Kluyveromyces lactis: one gene and its partners. The main gene of each other region encodes a partner of the protein of the gene in region 2 in a complex. Links are inferred from orthologs where the notes say so. Each region holds a gene or a part of one and is shown on either strand. Other genes may lie near its edges.

The links. The genes of interacting proteins can lie anywhere in the genome.
Region 1: RRP42 (region 2) and RRP46 share a complex: the UniProt entries of both Saccharomyces cerevisiae proteins name them as parts of the RNA exosome complex. The link is inferred for Kluyveromyces lactis from reciprocal best matches to the Saccharomyces cerevisiae genes RRP42 and RRP46.
Region 3: the proteins of RRP42 (region 2) and RRP4 are in contact, whole or in part, in a cryo-EM structure (PDB 5G06), measured with the Saccharomyces cerevisiae proteins. The link is inferred for Kluyveromyces lactis from reciprocal best matches to the Saccharomyces cerevisiae genes RRP42 and RRP4. Residues at the interface, in NP_010172.1 of Saccharomyces cerevisiae: Met1, Ser2, Leu3, Ser4, Val5, Ala6, Glu7, Ser9, Tyr10, Leu11, Asp13, Ser14, Ser17, Pro19, Ile21, Arg22, Pro23, Asp24, Gly25, Arg26, Leu27, His29, Gln30, Phe31, Arg32, Pro33, Ile34, Glu35, Ile36, Phe37; in NP_011936.1 of Saccharomyces cerevisiae: Ser2, Val4, Ile5, Thr6, Ile7, Thr8, Lys9, Arg10, Asn11, Gly12, Ala13, Phe14, Gln15, Asn16, Arg115, Lys164, Glu165, Gly166, Asp167, Leu168, Leu194, Arg195, Asn196, Gly197, Met198, Phe199, Trp232, Asp283, Asn285, Ile289.

What each region holds. Positions count from the first base shown.
Region 1 is NC_006040.1:1,265,510-1,268,601, forward strand, and holds RRP46 (exosome non-catalytic core subunit RRP46), read right to left. Parts: upstream 1,921-3,092; coding exon 1,243-1,920; downstream 1-1,242. Other genes in the region: VAS1 (valine--tRNA ligase), read left to right, coding at 1-1,089; thiamine transporter TPC1, read left to right, coding at 2,294-3,092. UniProt on the Saccharomyces cerevisiae protein: Non-catalytic component of the RNA exosome complex which has 3'->5' exoribonuclease activity and participates in a multitude of cellular RNA processing and degradation events.
Region 2 is NC_006041.1:821,709-827,471, forward strand, and holds RRP42 (exosome non-catalytic core subunit RRP42), read right to left. Parts: upstream 3,431-5,763; coding exon 2,636-3,430; downstream 1-2,635. Other genes in the region: TRM3 (tRNA (guanosine(18)-2'-O)-methyltransferase), read left to right, coding at 1-2,580; RRT6 (Rrt6p), read right to left, coding at 3,825-4,598; TMA17 (Tma17p), read right to left, coding at 5,327-5,763. UniProt on the Saccharomyces cerevisiae protein: Non-catalytic component of the RNA exosome complex which has 3'->5' exoribonuclease activity and participates in a multitude of cellular RNA processing and degradation events.
Region 3 is NC_006041.1:1,129,143-1,132,920, forward strand, and holds RRP4 (exosome non-catalytic core subunit RRP4), read right to left. Parts: upstream 2,557-3,778; coding exon 1,243-2,556; downstream 1-1,242. Other genes in the region: OMS1 (putative RNA methyltransferase), read left to right, coding at 1-1,145; TRM5 (tRNA (guanine) methyltransferase), read left to right, coding at 2,585-3,778. UniProt on the Saccharomyces cerevisiae protein: Non-catalytic component of the RNA exosome complex which has 3'->5' exoribonuclease activity and participates in a multitude of cellular RNA processing and degradation events.

The DNA of each region.
Region 1 (3,092 bases), on a different chromosome or scaffold from region 2:
GCAAAGAATGGTCAAAAGGAATCTTACCCACACGGTATCCCAGAATGTGGTACTGATGCTTTGAGATTTGCTCTTTGTGCATACACCACTGGTGGTCGTGACATTAACTTGGATATTCTCCGTGTTGAAGGTTACAGAAAGTTCTGTAACAAGATCTACCAAGCTACCAAGTTTGCTTTGTTGAGATTGGGAGATGACTATAAACCACCAGCTTCTGAAGCTCTTTCTGGCAATGAATCCTTAGTTGAAAAATGGATCTTGCACGAATTGACTGAAACTGCCAAGAATGTCAACGAAGCATTTGAAAAGCGTGACTTCTTGAACTCCACCTCAGCCATCTATGAATTCTGGTATTTGGTCTGTGATGTTTACATTGAGAACTCCAAGTACTTGATTCAAGAAGGTACAGAAGTTCAACAAAAGTCTGCTAAGGATACCTTATATATCTTGATCGACAATGCATTGAAAATGATCCATCCATTCATGCCTTTCATCTCTGAAGAAATGTGGCAACATCTACCAAGATACGCCAGCGAAACTTCTCCAACTATCGTTAAGAGCTCATACCCAACTTTCAAGGAAGAATTCCACAATCCAAGCGCTGCTAAGGAATACGAGCTAATCTTAAACGTCACAAAGGATGCTCGTTCCTTGTTGGCACAATATAACATCTTGAAAAACGGTAAGGTGTTTGTTGAATCTGCTAATGAATCATACTACTCCACTGTCCAATCTCAAAAAGATTCTATCGTCTCTTTGATTAAGGCAATCGATGAAGTTTCCGTTGTGAAATCTGCTGCTGATATCCCACAAGGTTGTGTGCTACAATCTGTCAACCCAGAAGTTAACGTGCATGTGCTTGTGAAGGGTCACGTCGATATCGATGCAGAAATCTCCAAGGTCCAAAAGAAGCTAGACAAGACTTTGAAGTCTAAATCTGCCATTGATAAGATTGTCAACAGCAGCGATTATGAACAAAAGGCCAATGACCAAGTGAAGCAATTCAACAAAGAAAGATCAGAGCACGCTGCCGCTGAAATCGAAACCTTGGAAGCTACCATCGCTAACTTGGAAGCATTGAAGTTGTAGAATTGTTTTGTTATTTGTCCAATAGATTAGATTACTCTCTCTGCCGCTGCTAATGCGAATTATATAAATGCAAATATATATAAATTGTATATAAAGATGATAACGTTAATTATAAAGTTAATTTATAAAGAACCATGGGTGCAGGTATACCCACTACTGTCTCCAGACGAAATCTTTGGCGACTTTATCCTTGATCACTGATCTCAACTCTGTGTATAACCGTATACACTCTTTCTCACCTGTTTCTAACACTTTAAACAACTGTGACTCGTCAAAGCTGCCTAAACTATCAAGAAGAAGCAGGTTCCTGACATCTATATCCCCGTTCTCATTCGTGCCCAGCTCTAGACAGTATACGTGGACCGATTCACATTTAGCTAGCTGCGATTCTGTTGGGTTCACCACCAGCTGCTTCCCTTCAGTGGTAATACCAATACAAGTACCAGAACACATACTGAGTAACGGTACACCAGCATCCACCAATGCGAGCACCGCTGCGTTAACACATACACTGACTTCTTTCACAGTATAATCCCTGCTTTCTCCCGCTTCTAATACTTGGAGACATATCTGCACAAATTGACGTGGATGCAAGTATCTCGCAAGCACTGGGGTCAACACAGAACGGATCTGATCTTCCATTAACTTTTCCCTCGTACTCTGTACGCCTTCAGCAGGCTTCACGATGATCTCTAATGCAAGTTGTGTGGGCAACTCTTGCCTAGACTTAGGTTCCATGGGTCCCGAAACAGAACAGATAACTTTAGTTCCGCTGTTTGAAACAACAGAAGAGCCATCAACATGGCCCAAAACATGCGTCGTAGTCTCCATCTTGGCTAGAAAATTACTATAGGTACAATATAACAATCAATACGCAGTCGGTATAGACGGTAATGAGCCACTACAGTCCCTCTTTCCCCATCTTTTGAATGTTATGTCAGGATGAGATGAGATGAGCTTCAAATTCAGAAATTTTTCACTTTTAGGATACGCAATGAATAGATATGAAACTAAGAGGTTGGAGATGCAATGCAATTGATGTGCCAGAGACCCTTTTAGCAGGGCATGTATGTGGTAATTTATAAATAAGGAGATTGTGTGTAGGTCTGGCTTCATTTAAGTTCTGAGAAGGGAGCGAGAGACCAGCATTCAGTGAATCTTCAATCCATCAAGAGAGAGGGATTTATTTAATGACGAAGAGAGAATGAACACTGGCATAAGGAAAGACCATCTCAGGAAAGGTGAAACGGTATCATGGTACAATTCAGTGATTGCTGGTTCTGTTTCTGGGGTATTTGCTAGGATGGCAACTGCACCAATGGATACTGTAAAAATACGATATCAGTTACAACCGGTACAAGAGGACAAATATAAGGGAATTGCATCTACTGTGAGAACTATAATGAAAGAAGAAGGACTTCGAGCGTTATGGAAAGGAAACATCCCGGCGACGGCGATGTACGTTGTTTACGGTGCAGTACAATTCGGATCTTACTCGTGGTTCAACAACGTTTGGTCTGCGAAGTTCCCTCGGTTTTCACAGCAGGGACAAACGCTAACGGTCGGAGCGTTGGCAGGAATGACTAGTTCAGTGGTATCTTACCCGCTAGATTTGCTTCGGACAAGACTTATAGCAAACAGAACGAGCCATCGGACCAGTGTCGCAGAGGAGTGCCGACAAATGTGGCTCAATGAAGGTGTACGAGGTTTTTTCACTGGAATATCCACTGCGATGACAACGGTTACTTTATCCACGGCTATCATGTTTCTCACATATGAGACCGTGAATATAGTCTGTGAAAACCACGAGAAAGAATTCTGGTCGCGACCTGTAAGTGCTAGTTCAGGGATCATCGCAGGGTTTGTATCCAAGACGATGGTGTTCCCCATTGACACTTTACGTCGCAGAATGCAAGTGATGAACTCTAAGAGAACAGTTCATTTCACCAAATTCCCTGCTGTTTACCACGAGTACAGGTATAAATCATCCACTGCAATTATTT
Region 2 (5,763 bases):
TCCAGAACAATAGGCAGTTTCCGTGACTTTTGTATTGTCAACTATAATCAATCTTTAGAAGGATATGAAGTTCCACAAGACGCATTGTACCAAGTACTTGCCTATGAATTATTTGATTGTGAGCCTTATGAAATCTCGGATCAATTTTTGATTGAGATCGTCAAAGCAGATTGTAACTATTCCGATTTATCAGAAGAATATTATGCTTTCTTAACTGAGTTAGTGACAATGGAAAGTAATAACTACAAGGAAGCTAAAGTCATTTTGGACCTACCACAGTTTACGCCAGCTGTCTACGGTGCCATTAATCCTCTGCCAATTTTTAAGAGCTTGTTCTCCGAGTTTTTACCTGATAAATTCGACTTTTTTGTATCATTGTTTGATAAGGTTATGCAAAGTCCTTCTCAGATCACCATATCCTTTGAAAATTTGCTTAATTTATACCGCATAATTGGGGAGTACATAAGATCAGAAAACAATCTTCCTTTCAAGCTAAAAGATGAAATTTATGCAAATTTCTTCAAGTTGCTAAGAATTTGCATCAAATCATCTCCCCTGACTGAAGAACAGCTGAATACATTATTGGATCTCTTGCAAGAAAATGCCGAAAGGGATAATGGAAATTATTTGGGAAATCTTGAAATCAGCTATCTTTGTCAATCAATATTAGATGTCTACATTCTCCCAACACTGCATGAGCTTACTGATATGGAGAAACATGTTTTGAATAGTGCAATGGGTTTACAGTGCAGAATATGGGATTCTTTAATAGAAGAGAGGTTGGTACTCAATCAACAACCATTGCATTTGGCTCTCATAAGAGGCATCTTCCATTATACGACATTCTTATCTGCCCTCAATGATCAGGCTATTTTCAAGATCATGCTTCATTACGCAACTGCCATTTTAGATCAATCTTTTTCGAGGAGAACATTGAAACCAGTTCTCAGCCAGCAAATCTTAGGGTTTATGGAAGTGTATGGAAGTTCACTACCAAACCAGCAATATTCGGACTTTGCTAGGTTGCTATCTGATGTTTTCACTCATGAAAGTATGAATCTCAACATCTACAATTTAAAACCTGCAATTGCCAAGCTATTTGATTCCAAGCTTGGTTTATATATTGACGGAGGATTATACAAGTTTGTTTATGGTGCAACAGAAGTGGTTACGAAATCACGCATAATTAAAGCTCTTTTATATTCAAGCAAGGAGTTTAGACGTCAATTTTTGCAGGTGATGCTCCAAGAAGACCCTAACATGTTAAAAGCGAAGAAAAAAACTGATGGACCAGAAGAAATTCAACGATTACAAAAATGGCAACTGTGCCTTCTATCGATCAAATCAGTCGATAAAGATGTTCTAACAGGTTTGTGTTCTGATTATATCATTCCTTCTCTTGTGGAAGAATCGTCTCCGTTAGTAAGAGTTTATTCAGAATGGTTCATTGCATATGACCTATGGGTTACAGCGACAGATAATCATAAAAATCCAAATGAGGACTTTCTGTTCAAACTTTTAGAAGACACCTCTCGTCCTGTTTTACAAGCAAGTGTTGAACGTTTGTTATTCTTATCTTTGAAGGCAGCGAAGGAGACAGGTCATTTTTTCAGGCCAATGGAAAGATTTGTCGCACAACTGATAACTAATTGCTCCTCAAACAAACCATTAATTAGACATTTCTCTAATTCCCTCATTCTTTTGTTTTGGCCAACCTTTGAAGATGACATCAAAGATAATATTTTGCGATCCATTATTTCTAAGCTATACAGCGATGCTAAGAAGATCCAAGTACAAGGTCAATTCAGAGCCGGTGACGCAAACACTTGGAGCATCAATAACGACCTTAAGTTAACAAGTATATTTGGCGGCGTATTATTGAAAATTATGGATCATAAAGTTCCATATATAAATAGTAAGATATTCAAAGCCATTAACATCGATGACGGTGAATTTGAAATAGGATCGGAAGAGAGTGAACTATGGTTGACCAAAAGAAGTAGTAATCTAGTAAATTCAACTGAGTTAGCAAAAAACTCGCCCCTACAAACGAAGAGTGGTGCTTGGGAAGCTGTCTTGGATTTCGATAATCAAAAATCCATTGAGTCTGTTGCACGATCTGAATTAATTGTCGTAGCTTCATTAGTGGATAAAGCACCCAATCTCGGAGGTATTTGTAGACTCTGTGACGTGTTGGGTGTCGGTACTATGACAATTCATGATATTAGAGTCAAACAGCATCCTCAATTCAAAAATGTTGCGGTTACAGCGGACCGCTGGATGCCTATTGAAGAAGTTCCTGTCGATGGTATAATATCTTACATGAATGCAAAGAAGTTGGAAGGATATACGTTAATTGGATTGGAGCAGACTGATTCTTCCATTCAACTGAATTCTGAATTTAAATTTCCATCAAAATCTGTCATTTTACTAGGAACAGAAGCTCATGGTATTCCAGGGCATTTGTTAAAGGAGTTGGATTTATGCTTAGAAATCAAACAATCTGGGGTAATAAGATCCATGAATATCCAAACTGCAACAGCTGTTATCGTTCATTCGTACTCGATCCAGCATTTATAGATATGCATTTATAATAAACACCCTGAAAAGTACCTATTTACTATTTAAATGTTCCTTAATCTGAAGCATCCAAAGCTTTTTCAATATGTGGTGCGTATTGACGAATTAACTTGAACGCTTGTTCTAAATGATGCTGACTGAACCCTTTGATATTATCGTTATTCAAGCCAACAGATCTTATCGGAGAAGTAACCTTATCTTTGTACCACGTAATTAGAAGGCCATTGTTCGATACTATGCTCTCTTCAAAAGTTGGATCCACAAAAACACCGTCTCCTACAATTGCGAACGTAAACAATAAAGGAGCATCTGCCTCTAGCTTAACCATATCGTAATCATGGAATGTGGGTAGCTCCTCCACTTCTAAGTCATCGTCGTTCGATATTAGTTTCGGTAGCCATGTGTTTTTCAAAGCGCTGAAAATGGCGAAAGATATCATTGAGATCGGGTATGATTTGGAGGCAAGCACCAAAACGTCAATGTAAAGTTTGAAACTGTACCTTTTCGTGAGCATTAGCTTTTTCTGATCAATAGTTTGTTTGAGCAATTTGGATAATAGTGAAGACATGCTGGTAACCAATGGAGAGTCATCTCTGTGGCCTTGGATGTCGACATCAGCAACAAGCAATTCTTGTTCTACCGTATGGTCCACGACTTTAGTTTTTACACTCACTATACACTCGCTTCCTCCGCTTAATATCACACGGCTGGATCCATTAGAATTGGGAAGGAAATCAGTAGATACTTCCAATGGTCTAAATTGATGTGGACCTCTTCCATCCGGTCTTAATGGGGGATCTAATGTTAGAGAATCGTATAGGAACGATTTTTCAGTTAACGAAAGTCCCATTATCTTCTTATATTATTTGATTTTTTTTTTAACGAGATGGGTCTGCTTCGTGAGAAGATAACTCGCTTTAAACTCAGATGTTTCTATTGCTGTTGATAGAAGGGAAATAAGCCTTTTCTCATCATCTCATTGCATCTCATCTCAAGCTCATATAAGTCAATACTGAAATTAGTTCAGATTTTTCATTTCTTCTTTTCGCTAATGCACATTAATATTCGGTGTTACCCGGATATAATTGGCCATTAGTGAGATGTTCTGTCAGGTGTCAGTCACGGTTCGAAGTACTAACATACGATGAATGCTGACTGACTGATATTGAAGTTGTACTGATACAGGGTGCTGATGTTTAATATATATACAAATACATCAACTGTTTTATGGACATAATTATTCCTTATCTTTTGATTTTATTTTTGTTCTTGGTCGGTTGCCCTTTGCTAACGATTCTATACAGTAAGATTGGAAATACCAGCAAATGACATACTCCAATGATGCAGAATAATATTGTGACTTTTGCCAGTAGATAAGAGAACGTTGATTCGTTGAGATTTCTATGATCGACATCTAAAGCATGCAATTCCTGGCCAGAATCCGCACTGACCAACGAAAACAGGTCATCTCTACCCTGGGATAACAAATTGAGATCATCATCAGTAATCAAATCCCACTTCTGTTTCTGAATCAGATCATTAGACGTGATGCTAATTGCTACTTGCTTCACACTATCTATGGCATTCCATGAGGAGTCTAATGAAAAGTTGATAAGGCATATTTGGAAATTCTGATGTTCGTATACGCTCACGTAAAGCACAGTTTCCCCATTCTCTAAACCATGTCTTGACTGTACCAAATTTTGGTCTTCGTCATAAATATCCATGTTGACAACCTGTTTTCCCTTTGAACTCGTAGTTGGACCAAACCTATCCACATTAACTTTCCATTTAGTAAATTCTTCAATTTCAATGAGGAATTGTAAATCCTTGGCCTTAATATTCGTATTCATTTCGAAACAAGTTTGATAACTAGACGCGTCACTCGAGCCGTCAACTTCCCATTTTTTATATGGCCACAAATCGAATTCTAATCGATTTGGGTTTATCGGCAGTTTAAGGGTCTCCGAGACAACTGAACATATCAGTAAAAGGACATATATCAACGATATCACCATTTAAACAAAAAGAACAAAAAAATTACTAGCTGGAACGAAATGAACTGGGTATAATAACAAACGAAAAGACCACAATCTAATTACTGAAGCGAAAGCTGTGGATTAGACCCAAAAAAAAAATTTTGTCTGGCCGAATAAGAACACAAAAAGATATTGACAACACGTATGAAGCACTGAGAAACAACCTTAAAGGGAAAAAAAGAATTGTTTCGATTTGAATTGAACCTGATGCTTTATAGATGGAGACCAATCATTAACCCAGGCAGTTCCCACTTTTCCAACCGAATAATTGCTGTCAAAACGACTCTCTGTATGTTTTTCTCCAAAAGTGTTCTTAACATTTTCATGCCATGGCACAGTATATATGTCGATCATATCAAAATGAAATGAAATGTTAACGTGAACCTGATAGACTTTTTTCGCATCGACGTTTACAGATGGAAGAAAATGAATGCCACAGAGAACGGCCCAGCCTGCTGGAAACAGAAAAAGCTAAATGTTAAGAATGGTCTGTAGCAGATTCATTCCAGGGTTTTTCCCAGCAGATTACCAGCCCGAAACTAAGAGAAAGAAACCAGAACGGGTGCGTTTATTCATCTCTGAAAGTATACAGTTTTCCGAGGTCATACCAGCCCACACTTTTAAACATGCATTTTTGCTTTCATTCATTTTTTTTTTACTATACTTCAATATATGAGTACATTATATATATTTTGTTTGGAATGGGTTCATAAGTTAATGCTATTGGAACCAGTGGCATCAGCAGTATTATCTGAATCCACGCCAACGGTTCTCCGGCCTTGAGATTGCAAAGATCTTTTTAATTTTGTGGACGCCGATTGGATGTCACCGGAAGATACAGTGCTAGCCCTGTGCTGTTCTTCTAGGTCCAAAGCTTGTAGCCTTTCGTTATAATTATCCAATACTTTTCCATTTTCCGCTAATGAGTCTTGGAATACTTGCAAATCCTTCTCATCAATATCATCATCGGAAAAATTCCCTTCCGCGTCCAATTCTTGTCTGTTCAATACCTCTTCACCCTTAAGCTTGGCAACGTACGCTTCTAACCTTCTGTTAGATCTTTGTAAATGCTTCACTGCATTATTGATCTCTTTTCTGATCTCTTGTAATTCATGCTCAGACGATTCTCTAATAGCAATCACGA
Region 3 (3,778 bases), about 310 kb from region 2:
CTGACAACTGGATTATTAGGTACGGGGCCATTGCAAGGTCCGAGAAGTTTTCGAAAGCTTTAACGAAATACATTCTTGCCGCATATGTGGTGTTCATTCTATATGGGTTAAACTATACCAAGAAGCTTTATAAGAAGGACAAGGAGTTAGAAGATATTAGTGCAAAGATTGATATGGGAGTAGCAAATGAATATGAGTTGTTGCGCTATAAGGAACTAAAAAATACGTTAAGAACAAGAGATGTGGAGAAATTGAAACAATACCAAAAGATTATAGAGAAAGATGGGACTGAGAATTTGGATAAGATTACCTTGGAAAACAACGATCAAAACAAGATTAACGAGAAAATTCTACCTGCTAGGGATACCACTGATTTCTATGAAATGAAGGCAGAAGAGTACGATGAGGGTGTGAGTTTTGAAGAAATGATGATCAGAATGGGTAAAAGACGTAAGTGGCTCATGAAACATTGTAAAGGAGATGTTCTCGAAGTCGCTTGTGGTACTGGTAGGAATATCAAATATTTAGACCCAACGAAGATCAACTCAATCACATTCTTGGATGCATCGGAAAAGATGATGGAAATCACAAATAAAAAATTCAGAGAAGCACTACCCAATTTCAAGAAATGTGCATTTGTTGTAGGGAAAGCGGAAGATTTGATCGACTTGAACTCGAAGGAGACACCTGTTAAGTATGATACTATTGTTGAAGCGTTTGGTCTTTGTTCACATCACGATCCTGTAAAATCTTTGAAGAATTTTGCTGAATTGTTGAAACCTGGCGGTAGAATCATTCTCTTGGAACACGGAAGAGGTTCATACGATACAATCAACAAAATTCTTGACGATAGAGCTGAGAAACGTTTAAAGACATGGGGTTGTAGATGGAACTTGGATATCGGAGAAATCCTTGACGATTCTGGATTGGATGTCGTCGAAGAAAGAAGAACACATTTCGGTACGACATGGTGTATTGTTGCCAAGCGTAAAGGTGACGGTAAGAAGAAAGAAGAAATTGGCTTCTTTGAAAAGTATCTTGGTGCTAGTGTTAAGAGCAGAATTGAATCTTTCACAAACGATGGAAAGAAGCAAGACTCGCTACAAGCTACCCATAATAAACCAACATCTGAGACATCCAAATGATGGTACTCTTATCGAAAAGATTTTATTATTTGTAAATATTATGCACTTTATTTATAAAATACTACTTCATGTAAATATTAATATTACCGATTACAACCTATGCTGCTCCCCTCATCTTCTCTGAGTTGATGACGTCTTGACCTAAGGACTCCATCGTCTCCGATTCAATTAACTGTCCCAAGTTACCATAAGCCATTGAAGCCTCATATGCGGATATTATTCTTGGCTCAGTGATACCGAGTTCGCAATGTGCTAACGCCTTAATTACGTTTGCATATCTTGTGATTGTTTGCCTAACGCTTACAGTAACAGTATCATTTTTATCCGAATATATTTCCCAAGAACTCTCTTCTTCCAATCTTGTAATGGAAACCGACATTGCATTGTTGGATCCTGGTAAATGGTCAGATTGTCCTGAACCTGTAGTAGTGGTCTTACCGGAAAGATCCATCTTGGAGGATTTCCTTATCCATACGAACCCATTTACACCCAAGATAATGGTGACATTCCCTGGAAGATTATGTGTATGATTTTTAGATCTCACTATTAGGGAACTTGGGACTTGAACAAACGTACCATTCCTTAGTTTCCCATATTTCAACGATCTGGTATGTAATGAAGCTGAACCGTCTTGGAACAACGATTGGACTTCAGCGTTTAGTAGATCACCTTCTTTCAAGAAGTTTCTCATTTGCAACTCATCTGTCTCTGACTTACGTCTCAATACACCACCTGGTAAATTAACAGAACCCAACATCAAAACCGCATACTGTTTGGCTCCAATATCCACTTTCCACCTTCTATTACCAACATCAGTGATTCTACCCACGATGTGGTCACCTGTTTCGGGAATATAACGAGATTTTAATGGTAAAACGGATAGCAATCTATTCACTCTCGATACTGTGCCAACCACAGAACTGTATGTCTTGTTTTCCAAGAAATAAGTACCATGACCCTTCATCCATATAGGATCATCGGTTATTAATTCACCAGGTGTGACAATAGACCCATCCTGATGGTCTATTCCACCATTGGAATCGTGAGCACCGCTCATCTCAATGTCATGTTCTTGCTCTGAACCTGAGCTGGAATCTGATTCATATTCATCCTGTTCTAAACGGCCATTAGACCAAAATTCGTTCCTATTGATAACACTAATAACATCACTCATTGTTCCAAGTAATGATATAACGATGTCAGGGACTGCAGAAGGCGTTCGATGTGCTGACTTCCTCGCTGTACCTTTGTTACTTTTGGTGTTAGTTAACTGAAAATTTTCCAAATTAAATAAGAGAGCGATGAGATGAGATGAGATGAGCGTTGTAAAAGATGTAAAAATGTTGCAGCAAAGATCGACCGTCAGGCAGCGTTTTATTTGGTGAAGTGATAGCACACTATTTTGCTCCATTTTTCAAGGATAGAGGAGGACTAGTTTTATGAGGTTTGGCCTAGTGCTTCGAAGAACAATGAGTAGAGCTATTGAAACTACGTTCAAATATGAACCACCAGTGCATCGTGGCATGAAACAATTAGATAAATCATTATTCGTAAAGAAGCTTCCTGTTGTTGTATTGCTATTGAAGAATCCAAAGAATATTTCTGTCTTCACCAAGAAGTTCAAGGACGATATATTAAGGACACCAAGAATTCCATTCGTTATAAGACTTGGCGAAACACCAAAAGAAGATACTGATAAGAACGATGTCGAGCCAGTACAGAAGAAAAGCAAATCCCTGGCCAATGACAACCATATAACCAAAGGTATCATACTAAAAGACAGTATACAAGATGTTTCGCAGGCGAGAGGGAAGTTGACCTCCAATGCACTAGAATTTCTTGATGAGCAAGAGTATGAGTTGAGAAACCATGAGTATGTGCTAGATTATGACTTCTGGAAAGTGGAAGAGATTCTAAATGCAATTTTACCAGAGGAGTACCTTGCTGAGATTCCTACTGGGTTCACTATTGTGGGACACGTAGCTCATTTGAATTTAAGGAAAGAGTTCAAACCGTTTGGTGAAATAATTGGACAAGTCATCTTGGACAAGAATTCGACGATCAAGACCGTGGTCGATAAAGTGGATTCCATTGCTACCAAATTCAGAACTTTCGAAATGAACGTCCTAGCGGGTGAACCGAACCTGCTAGTGACTCAAAGGGAATCTGATTGTTCATTCACTTTCGATTTCAGTAAAGTGTACTGGAACTCAAGACTACATACAGAACATGCAAGGTTAGTGAGTCTATTCAAACCGGGCCAAATAGTTGGTGATGTGTTTGCTGGGGTGGGGCCATTCTCAGTTCCAGCAGGAAAGAAGAAGGTCATCGTTCTAAGTAACGATTTGAACCCAGAATCTTACAAGTACATGCAGCAAAATATCATCGACAATAAGGTGGGTAACTTCGTTGAACCATTGAACCTCGATGGCCGCGAATTCATCAGAGATAGTCCCAAGCTACTACAACAATTCATCGAAAGGGTACAGGGAGTCATCACGGTGCCAGGAGGTAAGAAGTACAAGGATAAAGTCACGGGAGAAACTAAACGTACTCCTGAAACCAAGATCCCAATCAAAAACCAGTTCTTCGATCACTACGTGATGAACTTACCTGACAGTGCTCTTCAATTC